2 linked regions of the Oreochromis niloticus genome follow. The protein of the gene in region 1 purifies or fractionates together with the protein of each later gene. This does not show direct contact. Links are inferred from orthologs where the notes say so. Each region holds a gene or a part of one and is shown in the gene's direction. Other genes may lie near its edges.

Region 1 (10,480 bases):
GCAAGGACAGGACATCCAGCAAAACCTCAGCAGTGAAGGTGGATGTTGGGGTGGATGGTCACAGCACCATCTGGTGGCTCAGACTAATAATACAGTACACTGTGAACAGACGTTAACAGCAGAGATCCCACGTCTTAAAAAACACTCTAGCTTAATGTTTGACTAATTATATCAGCTAGATCCTGCTTTTCCCTCTAATGTTAGTTATCAGCAAATATTATTATTATTATGCCTTCTTTTATTCTGTTTGAGGGAATTAATCATTTTAGCTGGCAGGGCTTTAATCGGAACAAAATGATTTGTCCCTCTGACACAGGCAATGAGTGTGTTTAAAATCAAATTTAAGATCTCAGAGACAATGTTTAAGATCTCTGCTGCTGATCTGCAGTTGCGTTTTACATATTATATCTCCATTAAAGGTACCTATTGTGTTTTTTCTCATTTTCTTTCAGATATGTACTGCTGCAGTGGCGGATGCTCGTGCCTAAACATGGCCAAAATTTCAAATGATGATGTTAGTCATGTGAAAGTAATCCCAATCAGCCAAAAGTTCAGGCTGATCTAAATACTCTGTCAGTTTTATTTTTAATCTTCACTCTGCATGATGACAGGATAGCTCTAATATGATCATCTCAGGTACACAGCTCTGGCTGTGACCACAGGAGCTGCACCCACCTTTGGTTCAAACCTTATGTTTGCCACTCATGCCACTCAGAAGAAAGCTGGCTGCTTAATACCTAACCTGATGTATCAGGGAATAGTTAAAGAGGACACCTTGTATGTAAATCAGCCACACCAATGTGGAGATGAGAACAGTCTATACATTCCTTTAGATTTTGAACTATAACGTCATAATGCATTAAATTAAACAGATTCCTTCAGAAGTAGTGTTTTAGTCAAAGCTATCTGACATTTTGAGCTTTATTAGGTAAGTGATTATCAGCCTAAAAATTGCACAAATTAAGATGTATGAGCTCCACTTTTATGCCATTCAAATAACAGTTCACATGGTTAGCTAGACAGTAACATCCCCATTAGTCAATTCTGGAGATCTATTGTGAAGCATGTTCAAAGCAAAGCATTGCCTGTTCATTTGGTTGCATTATGATGGTAAGCAGTCCCAGAACTCATGGCAGATACACTGGCAGAACCCATAGACCATGATCACGATGAGGCTGGCAGGAACCAGGCTCACCAGAAGCACCCCGAGTGTTGTCCTCTGCATTATGAGCAGGTAAACCCCCATAGGCAGGGAGCTAAAGTACAAGAGCCCCAGAACCCATACCAATGCCCGGGCTGAAGTCTGGCACAGGAGGGCTGCACAGTTCCACACCGTCCACCTCTCTGCGATGGATGCCATAGAGTCCAGACTGGATGAGTGGTAGTCCTGGTTTGACAGGTGAGAGCCATGTATCTGCTGGTAGGCATGGATGTCTTGGGTGGATATGGATGCTGGCGGAGGCTCCATGATAGTAATGACCACAAAATTAGGGGAGCTGCGGATGGTGGAGTAAGGGGTAGAGGAAGATGTGGAGGAGGAAGTAGATATCACAGGTGAATTGCTGCTCATCAGTGAGCTCAGGCGCATGGGGCTTAGGAGCAGTTCTGTAGTTGCCTCCTGGTGGAACTGACGGTTTCTCTGATTCCTGTTTTGGAGGGCCAGCTTTGCCACCAGGTTGGAATCATCCGACAGGTTGCTCACAGCTTCTCCCGGCAGTCTGGTGAGATAGCGACAAAACGGACACACCAAGGCATTGGGAGGCGACTCACCCAAGTCCAGGATCTTAATGAGACATTTGGAGCAGAGACGGTGGCAGCACTCAAGCACCTTAGGCCTTCGACTCCCCAGGTTGTAGGCGCAGTAGCAGATCTTACACTCCATCTCTTCAGTGCACAGCATGTCCACAAAGCCAGAACCTCCAACACCACCACCACTATCCTCGGGGTTTTGCATCTCTAGCATCATCCTGTGTTAAAACTTTATCCAACTCTAAGATCAAACGCAAAATCCAACCAAAAGCTCAAGTCCAAGCTCAGCACCAGCACTTTTCCCATAGATGGAGACACTGATGAAGGTCCTCTTCACTGAAGATCTAGGCTTCATTGCAGCTGTCTCCTAAAATGTGTGTGTGTGTCTGTGTTTCAATGTGAAGCGAGAAGAGAGACATGCGAGAAGGTGAAGCCCCTCGCAGGATTCGGCCTCTGGCGGTTGCTTGCCTCCAAGCAGTTGGGTTGACCGTGCTTCATTTGGAGTAAAAAGCCTTTCATGAGCTGCACAAAAAGGGGGGAGAAGGGTGAGAGACACTGAGAGAAAGACCTAAAGAGAGAGAGAGTGAGAGACAGAGAGAGGGAGGGAGACACATAACTGTTAACACAGCAAACAGAGGCGAAAGGACAACAAAGCAGAGCCTGTACAAACCAGAGCTGGAATTTTCGAGTCTGATCTTTTGTTGCTCCATGAAATTCAGCCCAATTAGTGACTGATGCACACACACACACACACACACACACACACACACACACACACACACACACACACACACATACACACACTACTGTATTCATGACTTCAGTGCACATTGCAGTGACTTACCTTCATTTCCTGAACACTTGCTGTAGACTTAACCACTAGTTGCCTACACACATCCCAACCTAATCCCAAATCATGTCCTCACCTTTAATAATTTACATAGCATGGATTAAATTTTTGCCTCTGTGAGGAAGACACACCCTCATAATGTGGCATTGTAAACACACAGCATAGATAAAACCCAGGTAACACACACAAACAGACAACAACTGCAGCTCCCTGTTAATGGTCTGCAAAAATAAGTGTGCATGAAAGGTTGAATGAGTTTCTATTTAAATAACTTTATCTGTGTTGTGCAGCACTTTGGTCAGCCATAGTGCTATATAAATAAACTATGGTATGGTATGGTGTGTGTGTTTGTGAGCATGGGTGTAAATATGCAAAATTATGTGCCCAAGTAAAAACACAAATGTGTTTTTTCATCCATCCCTACAGAAATGCCTGGTACTTCTCTAAACAGGTAGTCCAAGGAGCTTGGAAAGAAAAGTGTCTGGACTTCTTTAGGTTGCTTGAAGACGTTTCATCTCTCATCCAAGAAGCTTCTCAGATGAGAGGTGTCTAAGGAGCTTGGAAAGATCCGAGAAGCTTCTCGGATCTTTCCAAGCTCCTTAGACTACGATGACCTGGATGACTGGGAACCTTCACAGACTCTAAACAGGTAAATAACTTCTATCTTTATGAGTGTCACCATGTGTTTAATGACACTCCTGTCTCAGAAACAAAGATCCTGTGGAGGTGGGGGTGGATGATGGGTCCTGTTTCACATCTAGTAGATGACATGGTTTTATCTTTTTTAATCAATAAAGACACAAATCTTTCACAATCCTTTTAGCACTACCTAAATCTACACACATCTGTGACAAAAGCATTGGCTCAGATGTGTAATATGTAATACCATGCATAATGTTACGAAATGAGAACCTGTGTTTTCATTTAGTATTTCCTGTATTAGTGTCCAGTTATCAGGTTAGATGGGTGCAGATGGTTGTTTCAGCTATACGTTTTTGCATGAAATCTTATGGATTTGAAACAACAAAGAAAAGAGAAATGTCTTACCGTGAAAGACACCTATGATTTGAGACCAGGCCCGCTGATGCGAATATGTGTCACAATTGGTGAACTGGTGTGGACTGAAGGAGTGGACCCAGCAGTGGAAAGTGGAGCAGGTCATTGTTGGAGATCCCGGTTTGGCAGTGAGCTCTGATCTTGATTTACGGCCAGAACAGCACAGGCAGCAGAGCAAAATGGGTCAACGTCTCTTTGTAGATGTGAGCTTTCCTCGTTAAGATGGGCTCATTCTAACTCCATCGAGTGTGGTAGCCCAGCCTGCCATCTCTCACGCAGTGCCATTTAGCCGTTGTTCTGTTTGCCACTTTAATTATTAAACTAAGAAAACTAATGATAAGTGCCCATTAAAAGTCACAATCGCCTCACACAATAATTTCAAAGACTGCAACTAAACGGGTTTTGTGGTTTCTGGACTGGATTTACCCTGAAATGGCAAACTGGCACATGCAAAGGGAAAAGTTTGTCACAAAGATTACGGAAACTTTGATCTTGGTCATTATAATAAGTACAGTACTGTGCAAAAGTCTTGAGCCAATTCATGTATCAGGTCTTTGCTGGATTTTTTCCTGTTTTTTAAGGACATGACTTTGAGATACTCTTCATCTGCTGTAGATATTTATTTTTTAGACTTGGCATTTCTTTTTTGTGCTCCCCTGATCCATTCCTTTAAATTTTTTAATGACACACTGCACACCATGTTGAGAATCACTTTTCAGAAACACTTTTGTTGGTGCAATAATATAATGTTATGTCTGTCAAACTGTGTTATCTTTGGGATTTTCTGCAGAATCAGCTGAAGAAACAAATTATATGGTTCTGTAACAAGCTGATGATACAAAGCTTGGTGTCTGAAGGTACAACTTCATCCCCTGAGTGAGATGGATGTTTTTGTAAGTTCAGTTTGCAGTTTAGTTTGCAAAAAAAAAAGATGCATTTCTTTGAAATTGTCAGGCACAAGGATGATGGAAGGAATGAAAAAGGCTCCAATGTAAAAAACAAAACAACCTGGTCTGTAGCTTTTGACAGCTCTGAAGCGCTTGCAACATTTTGTACCTCAGTGTTAAAATATAATATGTTTTTTGTTTTGTTTTTTCTTTTACTTAAAGCTGCGTCCATCTCACCTCTGGGTCTACAGCAGCTTAGAATCTCAGCTAGCCAAACATGTTCGTTGATCTGTGGGAAGAAACTCAAACACAGGCTGTCCAGTAACAATAACATGAATCACTTGTAGTGACATTTGTCTTATTTCTGTACTGTTTTATTGCACAGTGTTTATTAAAGTTCATTTTAAAGCTGGACTAAGTGATTTTTACCACTAGTGGGCAGAAAAACAAGCATGACCCACCAAGCTGTTCAAGCTTATTTCTTAGAAACCAGGCATGTTTAAAGTTTGGGCATAAACAGATCTGTTCCCTCCCTTTAGATTCATAGTATGGGTCTCTGATGAATGCTGAAGTTAAATATTGACTTTCTCTTTCTCTTTCAGGATGGGTGGAGACCAGCATCAAGCAGCTATTCTTCAGTCTTTTAACTTTGTCTGCTGAGAAACATCTGATTCCATTGTACTTAAAGAAGTTAACGTAGGTGTAGTTACATATACAGTATATAGTAGTAATTCCGTCTTTTACACGCACAGGCAATATAATGATAACAATAAAGCACAAACAAAAGACGTTACACTCCAATAAATGTACACACACACTAACACACAAACACACACACCTGACGTCACCAACCTGAACCACAACAACACAAGAGGCAGGAATGGAAGTGTGCAGCTGATTTAAGTTGAGACAATTATACAGGAAGCATGATGATTTGGTCTTTCAAAATAAAGGGAGAAAAAAACACATGCCAAAAAGAAATGCAGATAATTTTAATGATTGCTTAATTACAGGTATAAGAATGTAGAACCTAGGTTTCCAAATATAAAGTTACCACCCTTTGGTTAAAATAAGAAAAATTAATACAAATGATAGAAAATTGTTGTACATTTCTTTCTTTTAATTTCACCCCTTCTGTGCACTGTTCAAGAGCAGGACTACCTTTACTCAAACACATCACTTAAGCACAATTTTGAGTTACTTGTATTTTCATTTATACTTCTTTAAAAAATAACTTTCATGCTACTTTTTAATTGGTAATCATATGTTTTGTTACAGCATTTGTTTCACTTGTGTATCTTTGCTCTGTGAATAATAATGTAAACTACATATTCGTGATATAAAAAGTAATTTAATAAGACTGTATGATTTAAACGCATTAGTTTTCATTGCAAAAAGAACATTTAGACTATTTTCAAAAAGTGAATGCTTTATGAGACACTTATTTTGAAACCTCAGAACCGGACATAGCTCAGTAAAGTCTCCGCTTTACTTCACTCCCATCTCTGCTGAAGGAGCGGAGGGGCAGAGCGGAGGGACCCCGGTCGTTTTTCAATGCTGGGGAGCTGGGAAGCAGGAACCGCCGGAGGTGGGCAGGTGGCCGCGGCCGGCGGACCGCCAAGCCGGGATCAGGAGACCCTTCCCGGCCGCGCAGGGTGTCGCCTCACCGGCCTGGTCAGCTGGAGGCGGAGACCATGCAGGACTTCAGCCCTGTTTGCTGCAGCCAACGCGATGTTCGGGTAGGCATCATGACGCAGGGATATCTCACAGCACTGAGCTCCTGTTAATCAAAGAAAAATTAATTATGACTTTAAGTTAAATTTTGAATATACTGTTAAAAAAAACATGACATCCTAGTAATTCCACATTAAAGGCGTAATTATTTCATCTTTAGTCCTTTCTTTCTATTATATCTTTAAATCCTTTGATGTTGTTACTTTTAAATTCATCTGTACTTCGCACACAAATAATAATAATAATAATGATGACGATCTTTAAAAAGGGGTTGTAAATACTCTGCTACAACTGTTTTCTGTATTTTTCTTATATTTTCGGTGTGTTTGACGTCAGTAATATCTGTATCAGGGACATTGTCAAAACAAACCGCTACCACCATGAACAAACAAAAAAAAAATCATAATAATTTGGGACTTCCTGAGATGAAATTCGTCCAGGTTTTGTTTGTTTGTCTTAAAAAACATTTAAAACCCCAAATAGTGTTCATTTAATTTTGTTTGTATAAGTTGTATTTTTATATATTCCGGTATTGCTATACTGCTGCAGTGCTTCTGCTTAATGCACTGAAAGAGGATAGATAGATAGATTGCTGTTATAAAGTGTTTCTTACACAGATCTGTTATAATTTTGCATCCTGATTTTTTGAGTAAGGGAAGCAGAAAAGCACAAAATTGTGCCACAGGGTCATAATAGCCAAAGAATATGAGAATATTTTAGCTCCACAATAGATGGTGAGGTTTTTTTTTTAACATCCACTAATGTAAAATTATATATCCAAAAATGAAAATATAAAGCTTTATCATCTTGTATAAAACGCTGCAGTACAAAAATAAACATTGATCTGCTAAAACTTCCACAGAGTTAAACCGTGGAGAGCATCACAACAACCTGAGTGAGCTGCTGTGAGTCAAACTTTTGTTCTGTTTCCCTGCAGGTTTGTGGCCTTTGGCTCGTTTCGGGCCTACACCCTCCTAGCTGTCCTCCTGGCCCTGCTGGTCATCACGGTCACCACCCGAGATGTAATTCGGTCCAGATCCGCAGGTAACCCCCAAATGATCAGCCGATTAAAGAGAAGAATAACTAGTAAGGAACTGCCTTGCCTTAATCTCATAACTCTGGATCTTCAGTTATAACTTCCCCAAAACACATTTAAATACAAATACTGACACCGATCAAAGACCAACTGATACTAAAGTGTTTGTCAAAGTGCACAAGGTGTGTAAAGGTACTTTAAAAAGTTGCTTGAAATCAGTTTAAAAACTTTTAAGTGATGACTTTGTGTCCCAGGAGTCTGTGTATTATGTGACAGAGACATCAAGTGATGCTGAAATAGGGCCAGGCTGCACTCTTGTGTAATATCACTGTGAACCAAAAGCTGGTGCAGGGCGTCAGCGTCGCATCCAGAGTTTGAGAAAATGGACAGATTATTGTCAGGACCACTTTTGCTGCAGATGTAGTAATAGCATAATAATGTATGCGGGGCCTTTGTGGGAGTAACCAACCCCTGATAATTAAAAAGAAGACAGACACTGAGATTAGAAGATGTAAAAAAATAAAAATACCCTAATTATAGAAAATAATGAATGATCTATTACAACCAAGACTGTAAAGGTGGAACCCAAGTACAGGGCAAAACCAAATAATTTTTACTAATCAGAGATCTTAATAGTGTGTAAAGGAGGTTGAAGCTGGTTTTAGTGGGATAAGAGTGTAAGAAGCTGAGGTAGTCAGAGGGAGAAGCAGACTGACGGGCAGCTGGGTGATGTTCCTGAAGAAGAAAAAATGGAGAAAGCTTTGTGATAAGAAATATTAGAACAGATTTGCTACAATTAAGTTCTAATTTGGTGTTATTACTGAGGTAGAAACTGCATTGTGGCGAGGAATGGTTGGAGAAAACGTTAACACGGTGGAGATGATGGAAAGCAGATGAACAGGTTGGGTGAGGCTGATTGTTGGCAGGTGTGCAGGATGAGCAGAGCTGGGAGCCAGGTATAAGGGAGACCTCGCCCACACCCATCCACAACAAAAACACAGACAGACAGACAAACAAGGGGGGAGGGCACCAAACAAACACAAGACAGAGAAAAAAGGAAGCACCAGGGAGTGTTTAAGGGGAGGATTGTGATGTGGCTGTAGCACAAACCTATAAACTAACAGGACTGTTGACAAGAATATAAAACATTTGCAAAAAGACGCATCGAATGAATGAGGAGCTCTGATTTTCTTTTAAAGCTGTCAGAGAATGGAGGAAGCTTCCTGAACACCTGAAAACTAGCATACATTTCTACTCTTTTTCCCCCTGATGTTATAGAGAGGCTTTTATATATTATTTAGATGTATTTGATATTTATGAGAGAGGGTGATGGATATATGGGATGTGGATACTGTCTGTGGTTTTGAAATAACTGGTAAATGTTTGGTCTATTATGTTGAATTGTCAACAGCATTTTTATTACTATAATTTATTTATTGACGATGTCTTTTTATATATTTCTATTGCAGGGACTGCGGATAAAAAATAGCTAACAGCTAAATCTGATACAGTGGATCTTTTTTATTAGTAGATTAATGTTTTTTTCCATCCCTGACAAATAAAGAGGAAAATTAAAATGAAATAAATAAGCCATTCAGGTTAAACCCAAGATGTTCCCTCACCAGAGTTATAAATGGCTGCTTTGAAACCAACCAAATCTATTTGGTTCGGATGTTTACGTGATTGCAGCTTCATCCTGGCTCATTAGCCCGATGAGTAAGGATGAGACATCATCTTTCATGGCGGATAGTGACTCATCAGCCTGACTGTTGCTCACAATTACACTTTAAACACATTGGACTCCTGATGTCAGCAGTTATTTAAGTTTAATGTTATCAGTATAGTTTTCTCTTTGTAGAAAACTTTCATTATCATTACCTAACACTTCTATTAAAGAAATCTGTTTTTGCATACTTCACGTCATTAAGTATAATTTCATAGCATCACAGTAATCATTAGCACTATATCAACACGCAATAAAAGCATTATATCCCATTAACCTGTGGTTGGAAACATGAAAAGGGACTTTGTTAAGCATTTATTTCATCTACAAATTATGTTTCTTTTAACATTATTTTATTACATGGTTGTTATATTACATTAGTGCCCAATCATAGCTTGTGGTAACTACATTACAGTTTGCTCCAGCCATTTTTTCATTGTTTCCATCCATTCATTTTCTACCACCTATCCGGGTTTAGGGGATATTCTTACTGTCACCACCAACAGCTCGATAGGTGAGGGCAGGAATGTAGATCATCCAATAAATCAATAGCTAAGCCTTCAGGCTCAGCTCTCTCTTTGCCACAGTTCACCGGGACATCACCATCCGTCTGCCAGCTGCCTGCTTTTTATTGGTACTGATGTTAGTAAACTGCTACAGCTGACAGATATCAAGAAAATAACTAAAATGTAACAAAGAAACTTTTTTACTGTTTCTGTAGTGGGTGTGAGCGCGTGAGTGCTGATGAATAACACATCTGGGTTTTTTTTTCACAGGAGCTCAGTTATGGCACAGCATGACAACAAGGTAAGACATTTAAGTGCAGGTGATTGTGATGTGCAGGTTTGTTAATGTTGTTTGTTTGGTGAAAATTACAATGGGAGTGTTTGGATTTTAAAACATATCAGAGACGCAGGGCTACTCTGAAGGAAGAAATCTTCATATTGGTGAAGATGCTAATGCGGTATTCATTGTTTCCTGAACCTGAAGGCATCCATAGGACAGTGAAGTCAATTTAAACAACGAAATTAAGAACAAACATATCTGCATCAAGCTTCTGCTCAGATCTGATCTTAGATGCTGATTTAAACGATGTCTGACACAACTTGTTTTTCACAAACTGAAAGGTGAAGAGGATCCTGGCTGAAAAACAAAAAGTTGGTCAGCTTAAATTGTTGATATCACATGAAGGAAAGTTTAATTGGATGTTTGTGACTCCTGAAATCAAGTTGATGTAATCAGCTTCAGTAATCAGATGTCTCACTCTGTTGTTCAACTGCAGAAAGAATCGACTCGCAGCAGTGTGGTGCCGTTACACAGTGGAGCTTCATGAATCACCTCTAGCTATGATCTCTTTTTGAGTTTGGACATATGCACAATATTATGCCAGAAACTGAATTTTAACTAAAACTGAACCTGTAATGCTTGTAGCACCAAGAAATAAA
Region 2 (10,335 bases), on another chromosome or scaffold:
GGGATACAGTGTGTCACATTTCCTGTGAGGTATGCGCTCAGTGTATGAACTACAGCCGGATTTATTAGAGGTGTTTATTTTCATAATTTCAGTGTTTTTTATTCTGTTTTGACTTTTCTTTAAAGTCGGTTTAGTTTCAGTTAAATTTCATTGTTTCAATTTAGTTTTTATTGTTTAAAATGTTTAGTTTTAGTTCCGTTTTATTGGCTCCAGTGTCACTTTTAAACTTTGATGTTTTTATTGTATGGAGGGCATACTTCACAAAATCGTTTTTGGTTATAAAAATGTTTTCCACATCTATCATTATTTATTTATTTAGTTTTAAAATAACACTGATCTGCTGTCTTATATAAAGGCATGAATAACAACACCAGTCAAATCTGTTGAAAATGCTTAAAGTGTTTGATGACTTTGCTCCAAAGGTCTCAAAAAGCCTTTTTAAAGTTCAATTTCTCATTTTCTACTAAAACTTTCGTCCATCGCGTTCCTGTTGGTTTTACTTTGAGGGGTCCGTCTGTAAGCTTCCGGTCCAGTCTTGGCTGCTCACGTCTCACTTAACGTTGTCATTTTGTAAACAGGGTGGCCGCGCCCACCAATGATATGCAAACCATTCAGAAATAAATAAATAAAATAGAATAAAACGGAATAAAAATGTCCAGAGTTTTCCTACTAGATTATGCTTTTTTGTTGAACTGCACGACATTTTAAAGGGATAAGAATATGTAATTTTTACCACATTAAAAACTAAAGTGCAAGTTTTACTTTATCAGTTAATACATTTTAAGCCCATGTTTATAAAGCTTTCTAAAATACTGTATATGCAGTAAATATGCTATATTATTAATGTTTATTATTTATTTATTAAACGTAATCATCTGCTGTTTAAACTTTACCGAATCTGACGCTCTGAGATTAAATTAATGAAAATAAGTGAGAAAAAAAATATGAGTACAGTACAATTCTATAACCAATGTTTCGCCTCTTTTACCACTGAACTACAGTACGGTTAACTATTAGTTAATTAATTAGAAATAAATTAGTAACATGTCACTCACGCGGGACAATTTCTGCACTGTGAATGCGTTTTAGTTTCGTTAGTTTATTATCACAGGTATTCTGTTGTTTTATTGTATTATGATATATTATGATTTTGATTTAGAGGCTTTATCTTGTCTGTATTTCTTAACCAGAGTTATGCTTACAGAAGATTTGAATTGATGTTCTATATCATGAGAACCGCGTGACTTTACGGCTTTATCTGACCTGGGAAACCCCGGATCTTTGAAATCCCATGTTATGTTTTTAACCGAAGTGACTAAACAGTGTGATTTTTTTATGGTAACGATGCAGACCGTCCCACTTGTTTAATGTTATTTTTATATGACAAAGAAAAACCAGGACTTAAAATTGGAATTTATCAAGGCGAAAAGGAATAAAAGAGCCGGTGAAACATATGTATGAGAAGTCCGACTCTTCGGTTTGGACAGTAAACGTAGCAGTTGCCCCGGAGGTTCTTCTTCTTCGCCTGCCGTCAACAAAACCGGAGTGCTGGCTGCTAGTTTACAGAGCTTTGAGAGGGTTTTTTGGCACGAATTTGTACACAAAAAACGAAAATGGTAGGATAAGAGGACAGTTTGATAAGTATCTATTGAAACCGTTTACATATTTGGCCATCACACTGTAATTTACACAGGACGGAATTTAATAAATTGCTAACTAAAGCTAGCTTGCTTTTGCTAGTCGGGCGTTGTCAGTTCAGCAGACGACTGCAGCTTTATTTGTAACCTTTTCCCCCTTTGTGTTACCTTTAAACGCGCTCACTGGGAGATTATTTGAATTCTGTGTTTGTTGCGGTGTTAAATGATTTAAATCCGTTTATCAGCTCACATGAAATGACTGAGTTCTCACTGTTGTCTCCGTCCCTCAGGCTGAAGTAGAAGAAACTCTGAAGAGGATTCAGGGCCAGAAAGGAGTTCAGGGAATCATCGTCGCCAATTCAGAGGGTGAGACGACAATGATGTCGTTTTCCCTCCTCTTTTATAGACCTTTCCGCTCTTTGCGTGTTTCTAATTATGACTGCCACTGTGTGTTTTGCAGCTATAAGTCCTCCGGGGTCTGATCCAGAACACATGTTTAATAAACTCCGGGTTTGTTCAAACTGAGGCAAATTTTAGGGTTTATTTTTCCCGATAGTCGGTTACCATGATAACAGACACTGTGACCCTTCCCTAATCGTTTACCATGGTAACAGACCCTGTGAGCCTGTCTAACCTGCTCCCTGCAGGTGTTATCTCTGGCTCCTCCCCTCCTGTTACTCCTGAAACAGCCGACTGACCCTGGAACGCTGAAAACCCGGCTGGATCGATCATAATATTGATAATATCGGTACCAGTGTCAGTGTCAGATCGTGATACTTGATGCTTTACTTTCAGTGTGTTTCCTCAAAAAGTAGACATCCCTTTACAAACACAGTCCTCCTGCTCCTCCTCTTCCTCCTCCTCTCTGCCTCATTGTGTTTTGTTGTTGTGCTGTCACATGACTGGGTGGTGCTGAGCAAACACATGTAGGCTGTAGAGATAAAAAAGGAGCAATCTCACAGCTGTAAGCTAAAACGCCGCACACTGCCATGTGTAGGAAGGCGATTCGTGATCAGTTTATACAAACACATGAAAACAGAAGTGAGGAAAGAAACAAAGCATCCTTAGTGCTACAGCAGCATTCACTCATGTTTACGAATGACTTAAATCTTTTCTCTAATTAAATACAAAAAAAATCTTCCACATATTGATCATTGTTTCACTACCTGATCAATAACAAGTTAAACAACATTTAGTTTATAAAGAAAACATAACTGTCATTCGTGGAAAACAATCCTTCAAGCTGTGATAATTCCATAAAAATCAGGAATGCTTGTTTCATATATAAACTTTCACATGTGCTTTTTTCACTCTGTTAAATGTATTTGTTATTGATGTTTTTGTTTTGGTCTGCTGGGTTTCATTGAGCCCTGTTCCTTTAATGTACCACACTTACATTTTCCTTGGTACATAATAAAGCTGGAATCCCATCAAATTGTGAATTTAAATAATTTAGCTGTAACCTGACAGGACAAAATGCTACTGAAGACAAAACTATTTTCCTTCTTCGTCCCATTTTTAATTACTTTTTTTTTTTTTTTTTGAGTAATTGAAATCTATTTTACTGTCACGCTTCAGTTTCAGCAGCAGAGAACCAGTAAAATAAGGTGTGATGTGGTTACTGGGTGTTTTCCCTTCAGGAATCCCCATCAAGTCGACTCTGGACAACTCGAGCACGGTGCAGTATGCCGGGCTGATCCACCAGCTGGTGATGAAGGCCAGGAGCACCATCCGAGACATCGACCCCCAGAACGACCTCACCTTCATGCGCGTGCGCTCCAAGAAGAACGAGATCATGATCGCTCCAGGTGAGAGCATCTGATGGGAAATATTAAAATGCCCATTATTCGGATTATTTCCTGGCCAAAACGGCTGGATATGAACATTTAAGATGGTTTCGTTCCTGAAGTTGTTTTTTTTTTTTTTTTGCCTTTTTCTTCACAGATAAAGACTTTTTCCTCATCGTCATCCAGAATCCATCAGATTGAAGATGAAGGAGCTGACATCTGGCTGTTCGCTCTCTTTATCACTCTCATTTAAACGGCCCATTTTCTTTTTCTCGTTAAATCAAAAATTGTGTTTAGCAGAAGCTTTTTCACGGGAAGTAATGTTGTAAGGTCAGGATGTGAAGGTGGAGATGTGTGACCCCGAGGACGGTCAGTCAGCCTGCAGGAGGTTTTTTGGGTTGTTTTTTTCCCATGTTTTAGCATTCCAACTCCTCTGTGTGTGTGTGTGTGTGTGTGTGTGCGCGCGCGCGCGTGTGTGTGTGTGTGTGTGTGTGTGTGTGTGTGTGTGCGCGCGCGTGCGCGTACCTCATGTCACTGTTTATTTCATGTGTAGCAAGCAGCCAGACGTGCACGCCGAAACACGAGTGAGCAGTGAAGTCGCAGACATATGACTGGAGCAGAGCACGCTGGTCTGCAGAGGTCCAGTATACGAGGCAGAACAAAGGACGTGCTTTGTTTTATTTGGCCCACCTTAAAGGAAAACTGCAGATTGTTATTTATTGTTTTGATGGTTAAAAATGTTAAGGAGCAGTATTTCACCTGTGAGCAGAGAGCGACACTACAAACACGTCCCTGCTCTCGCGTCAAGTTTCTGTTCATTTGTAACAATTCTGAAATACAAAAATTGAAAACGGTCCCGTGTCTTTGTCTTGTTACTGGTTTTTGTTGTTGTTGTTGTTTTTTGTTTTTTTCTTGTTTAATAAGAGACTCATGCATCTATCAGCGGCTAAGAGTGCTTAACTTGAGTGTTCTGGTAAAAAGGAGGAAGCAGATAAAACTACTTGAACTATCATCCAGTTGCTTGGTTACACATTCAGGAGATAAAAAGAGGTCAGCATGTCACCTCAAGGAAAAACATCCAAAAACAACCCAGCAGAAAAGCAGCTGCTGAATGATGCTTGATGTTAGGGTTACGACGTAGGAGGGACACTAATTTTGACTCATTATTGAAAATAACAGGACATGACTGCATGTGTAGAGTCAGTAATTACATCTGGTTTAAAAATGCTTTGATGCACCTCAAAACGAGAGTTTAAAAAAGCTTTTTTTCAACGTCTGGAAGTTAAAAGTCTGCTGCTGTAGTTCTGCCAAAGATTTGATTTCAGGACTCTGAGGGCCATGTTTCAGTCATAGTGTCTCTGACAGATCACTGCAGAGAAGAACTGCAGAGTCAGCTGGTAGGTTTCAGCTGATGCGTCTGCTAAAAGCAATCATTTTCACATTTCATGGTCGTTTCATTCTTTTGTGCATCGCTTAAAAATCATCTTCAGCTGCAAGATTCGTTTCTTACACACTGCTGGGAGTTCTGTACACAGTACAAAGTAAAATATTTGCGTCTAAAATATAACAGAAGAAAAGTCAAAAGCAACATAATACAAATATTTTTACTTCAACCGTGACCTCAGTTCCAGAAAATCTGGGAAACTGTAAAATGCAATCATTTGCAGATCTAATAAACCCATTTTTCTGTACAATAGAACATAGAAAACATGTCAGATGGTTTAATTGAGAAAATGTTCTGAGGCTTGTTCCTTACACAAAAAGATTTCTCCAGATTCTCAGAATCATTCGGGGATATCATTTATTGTAGATCAGGAGATATTCAGTGTTTAAATTAGAAACAACATTCTGAAAATGTTCCACAGTTTTTATTTGTATTCCCAAACATATTACTTATCTGTTGCCAGTGAATCACAGACATGCTAAATGTTCCTCCAGCTGTGTTTTTAGCACTGCTCACTTTTCCAGCCTTTCATTGCCCATCTCCCATGGGCGAATAAAATATGAGTTTATGAGATCTGCAAATGATTGCATTCGTTATTTCAAATTTACATTTTATTCAATTTAATTTTTTTTAAATTGGGGTTTTACATTAAAACTTTAGTAAAGTACTCGTATTACATTCCACTACAGCTCATATCTCGTTAATTCTCCCAATAACACTCAGTTTTGCCTTCCTGTCTTTATAAACAGTCAACAAAGGCAGAAAGTACAAACAAAGTAAAAACATCCAAAAATAACAGCAAATGAACACAAAATATTCATAATCAAAACATGGAAGATGATACACAAAATGATCATAGAAGGAGAAAAATGGATAAAATCAACACAGCTGATGAAAAGTACAGAGAAAATGTCTATGAACACAAACAAAACCATCAGAGTTCACTGGGACACCCCATCCCCCACCTTGTACCAGTTCATTTAAAACAAACCTAGGAACGCCCCTGCTGAAGCAAAACACAGCCTGACATTACAGCTGATTCACGAACCTTTCATCATTTCCTCTCAGTACAAAATGAAGACGCTGCTGTGTCTGTTAAACTCTGAATCACCGTGTGAATCACGGGCTTGGGTGTATAACTGGTTAAACTTTGCACTTCTGTTAACGTGAATGTAAAGCTGCTCTCTGGGTTCAGGGATCGATGCACGGCCCCTTTAAATGCAGCGGGTGACGTCAGAGGCTCGGTTTACTGTCTTTGTTTGTCCGGAGCTGTTTTGGCTTCAGACGAACCAGAGACTCGAACCGAAGAGACGGACCTGCGCTGCTTGCTGTAACGATTGCGTTATTCATTAGTGTATAACAGATTAATAACCGGGACCGAGATGCCGTCCGACAGACCCTTCAAACAAAGGAGGACATTTGGTAAGAAAGCCCCGGGGAAGGTGTTATTTACCTGGCTTAAGTGCCTGCAAACAGCCGCTGAGCTGCTAGCCCGTTAGCCGCCTAGCTCAGCTCTTTGTATTTAGAGTGCAGACAAACGGTGTCGGTGCTGGGTTACTGTAACTGCTACAAGTGTCCGGGAGCCAGGGTAGGTAGGCTAACAGAGTATTTCTTTTAGTGGCGAATCAAAGGTGAAAATCCCGTTTTTACTGTGTGAGGCAGCATCCTCCGGGCCGAGAGGTGTTAAAGGGCCATCTGGGTCACTGTCCGGCTAGCTCGCAGCCAGCTAGGCCTCCGTTTACACGGCCGGATCATCTCACTGATCTGTGTTTGCTGAAAGGAAAAACAACATGTGCTGACACATTATCCCAATACACGTGTTCAGCGATTTATGTTGAAATATGAGGTCGAGAGACAGCCCCCCAGAGCCGGGCAGGGAGGAGCCCGGAGTCGGGCTCGTTGCATAATCTTTCCATTTACAGAGAAGCAGCAGAGATGCAAGAAACGCTGCATTCACCGCCTTCTGCTCTGTGCTTATAACCTGCTTTCAGCCGCTCTTGTAGACCTGTGCGTGCTGTTTGTTTAGCAGCTGTTTGCATTGTGTCACACTGACACACATTACAGACGAGTTACACAACAGGGGACATGTTTACCACACTTGGAGTTACTATAATACGCTTTCCAGTTCACTTTTATTCATATAGCACCAGTTCATGTTAGGGTAAACACCCCCAGAACCCCAACAATCAGATGATCTCCTGTGAACTGCACTTGACGACGGTGGGGAGAATGAACACCCATTTAATGGGAAGATGCCATTGTCAGGGACAAGCAGCCATCTGCCTCCACCTTTTGAAGGAGGGCAAAACAAACCACAGAAGAGAAAACAGCCAGTCGTCTGTTTATTGCAGCAGATACAACAATGTTTTCAAAAGACTCACACAGCAAATATTTAAACGCTTCATTAAAAAGTCGCTCTCGGACGACTAAGATTTCAGTGTAAACATTAGTGAAGACGGGCGTAGCGACTGCACCATCATAAATCCTGTTATGAAGCCCTGAGCTGAGCGTGTGCCCCGTCGCCATCTTGTTTGGATTGAGCCTATCAACAGGAAAGAGTTTACTGAGGGGCCGTTTTCCCATGAACCTCTTCAAATCTCCAACCAGATTAGTCGCCCTCTGCTAGCCATAAAAAAAAGGATGGATCATTGTTTCAGCATCTTCTTCCTGAAATTTGATGGTAGACGAAGAAAGAAGAAGACGTGATTAATAAAGACAGACTTCAGCCTTGGTTGTATTCAGTTGCCGACACAGACGGCTGGAAGCACAACGGCTGAGTAATCATTCCTGTTGTGCCGCTGCCTGGGGTGCATGGTAGTTGGTGCATTGTAATGCAAATTCTCTGTGGACAAGTCTTCACGATCACAAAAAAAATCAACAATCACCGTCTGATAGCAAAATTTCTTTCACTTGTGTCCTCGTGGATGTGAAAAGTATAATCAAGGCTGTGACGAGCAGACAGATGGTTCAGGGTCACCTGCTCCAGCCCTAACCTCATAAAGCTTATCAGAAAGGAAAATGTGAAGCCTGATCTTAGAAGTGGGAGGTGTGACTCTCTCCAGGAGCCCAGTGAGGACGAATATTTCTGAATATTTAGATTCAAACTGAAGACAGGTGTTCTTGCAGAACCTGGAGCAGGACTGTAGCTGGCTCCCAATAAACACCTCCACACTGAAACAAAGGAGCCATTCACACTCAGCTGCTGCTGCTCTGAGCCACCTGAGCTTTGAACCCGACCAGTATTTGAAAAAGGAAAAGCAGTTTTTCTGAAATAGGCCAGTAGGAGGTTCAGAGAGGGCAGCATGCTGTAAAATTAGATAGTGAGGCAGTAAAAAGAAAAAAGAAAAAAACATTGCAAAGCTTAAATGGGTACTGAAAGGAAGCCTGCGGAGGATTAAAGGAGACGTTTAACATAATAATGATATGCAAAGCTGTGAAGAGATGCAAACTTCAGAGCTCTGCCTCGAAAAGAGAAAAGACTTAGTGTGGAAGAAGAGGGGGAAATACACAAAGAGACTGATGTTAATTAGCCACGTCGTTAAACAGATCCTCTCTGACTACACCTAGTTTACTATCATGTCATTTTTTTTCATCACTTTTAAGAAGCTTTAACCAATCTTTAGCTGAAAAGTGACTAAAATGATCATTCAGTCAGTTGACTGTGTAGTTCACTGACTAATTGTTGCAGCTGTGTGGGTGAATGGATCTCTGCACTGCACTAAACAGCTCCGTGATCTCTGTATGCAATCACACATCACACCAGAAATGAAACGTTACAATAGCCACAGCTGCCCTGGGGCGCACTGACAGAGGCGAGGCTGCCGGACACTGGCGCCACCGGGCCCTCTGACCACCACCAGTAGGCAACGGGTGAAGCGTCTTGCCCAAGGACACAACGACCAAGACTGTCGGAGCTGGGGCTCGAACCGGCAACCTTCCGATTACAAGACGAACGGCCACGATCGCCCTTCATAAAAGCTCATACTGAGCGGTAACCAGCTGCCCCACTGGTGAAGTCACCATCATGGCCACAGCATCCTTGGTGAGCTCAGCGCAGCAGCACATTAAGCAGGTTCTGGTTAAACTGACCCTACAGAGGTGACGGATGGCTCCTGTCACCAGCGGGTGGAGCTGGAGTCTGTCTGATTACAGGACTCGAGACATCATCCACCTGTCCAGCCTCACTGTAGGGAAGCAGACATGAAGTCAGAGTTAGCTGGTTGTCATTGGCTGGACTTTCAAAATAAGAACGAGGATGGTTCCTCTTTCGACCGAACAAGAAATGAACTTTCTGTTTTTGTGACCATTTGTGTCTTTTGTCCACAGCTGACCGGTGCAAAGAGGTCCAGCAGATCCGTGAGCAGCACCCCAACAAGATCCCCGTAAGCTGCTTCACACCTAATCACACCACACTTCACTGAGCTTTGTTAGTGGGAATAAAGATGATTCCACTGGGATGAACCGGAGGTTACCAGAGTGCAGGAAGCAGAGGTTGGAGTGTCTGAAAGCAGCAAATCAAACCAGTCTCCAGTTCAGAGGGATCGATGTGATGCTTTGGTCCACAGTTGACCTTGTACTAAGAATGTCTTCCAGTCAGAGATTATATATAAAGCTCTAGATCATATTTCCCAGAACAGGTTTTAATCTAACATAGAGTTTTGTTAATTTTGTCTTTGTGAGCTAAAATTTCAGATGTGACTTTAAATAATTACCTCAAAGTCTTACAGCTCACTGACTCCCTGTGTAGTTACACATTTGTGTGCTGTTATATTTCCATACAGCAGGAAAAAAGCCAGAAAATCAGGTTTCAACCACAGACTGTACATAAAAGATGGGCATCATTAACATCATCTCACCTGTTGTTGAGTCCTATTTCAGAAACTTCAAAGCAGAGTGTTTTCCATCTTAACTGTCTGGAAGCAAAGTGCAACTGTTGTTTACAAAACATCGTGTTTTATTTTGACAGACTTGAGGCTAGCAAGCGCGACACACGAACTCACCGAGACAGTTTACTGAGGTCACAGAGAGAGGAAGCTCAGGGATGTTTTCCCTCATAGACTTTTATACAATCAGACTTTTTGCAAACAGGGGAGTCGCCCTCTGCTGGCCATTAGAAAGAACATGTTAAAATGTCCGAGACGCTCACACTCATGGCTGTGCGGGTAATCGCTCCAACAAATCATCCAAGAAGTCTGAGGTTCAGTTCAAATATGGCCACTTGTAGTTTTAAAGAACATGGCATCAGCTAAAATGCTAAAATCAAGCCTACAGAGCAGAAGTTAAACCAACCACAAACTTCATGGTGGCTGTGTGCATCTTTTGTATACAGTCTATGTTTGTAGGGCAGAGTCTTTGTCTTAGTGACACTCGTCTGTGTGCTTTGTGCCTGCAGGTGATCATTGAACGGTATAAGGGAGAGAAACAGCTGCCCGTTTTGGACAAGACCAAGTTCCTGGTACCGGACCAC

The links. The genes of interacting proteins can lie anywhere in the genome.
Region 2: the proteins of retreg1 (region 1) and map1lc3a purify together in Homo sapiens (affinity purification with western blotting; 3 studies listed by BioGRID and IntAct, with this or other methods). This does not show direct contact. The link is inferred for Oreochromis niloticus from reciprocal best matches to the Homo sapiens genes RETREG1 and MAP1LC3A.

The regions. Positions count from the first base shown.
Region 1 is NC_031982.2:31,490,544-31,501,023, reverse strand, and holds the start of retreg1 (reticulophagy regulator 1), read left to right. Parts: upstream 1-6,029; 5' UTR 6,030-6,096; coding exon 6,097-6,281; intron 6,282-7,213; coding exon 7,214-7,362; intron 7,363-9,811; coding exon 9,812-9,842; intron 9,843-10,480. Other genes in the region: E3 ubiquitin-protein ligase RNF182, read right to left, coding at 1,103-1,966. UniProt on the Homo sapiens protein: Endoplasmic reticulum (ER)-anchored autophagy regulator which mediates ER delivery into lysosomes through sequestration into autophagosomes.
Region 2 is NC_031970.2:3,292,145-3,302,479, reverse strand, and holds the start of map1lc3a (microtubule-associated protein 1 light chain 3 alpha), read left to right. Parts: upstream 1-6,110; 5' UTR 6,111-6,250; coding exon 6,251-6,290; intron 6,291-6,356; exon of another isoform or gene 6,357-7,535; intron 7,536-9,194; coding exon 9,195-9,250; intron 9,251-9,724; exon of another isoform or gene 9,725-9,781; intron 9,782-10,260; coding exon 10,261-10,335. Other genes in the region: dynlrb1 (dynein light chain roadblock-type 1), read left to right, coding at 1,614-1,616, 1,928-2,003, 3,278-3,445, 3,582-3,625. UniProt on the Homo sapiens protein: Ubiquitin-like modifier involved in formation of autophagosomal vacuoles (autophagosomes). While LC3s are involved in elongation of the phagophore membrane, the GABARAP/GATE-16 subfamily is essential for a later stage in autophagosome maturation.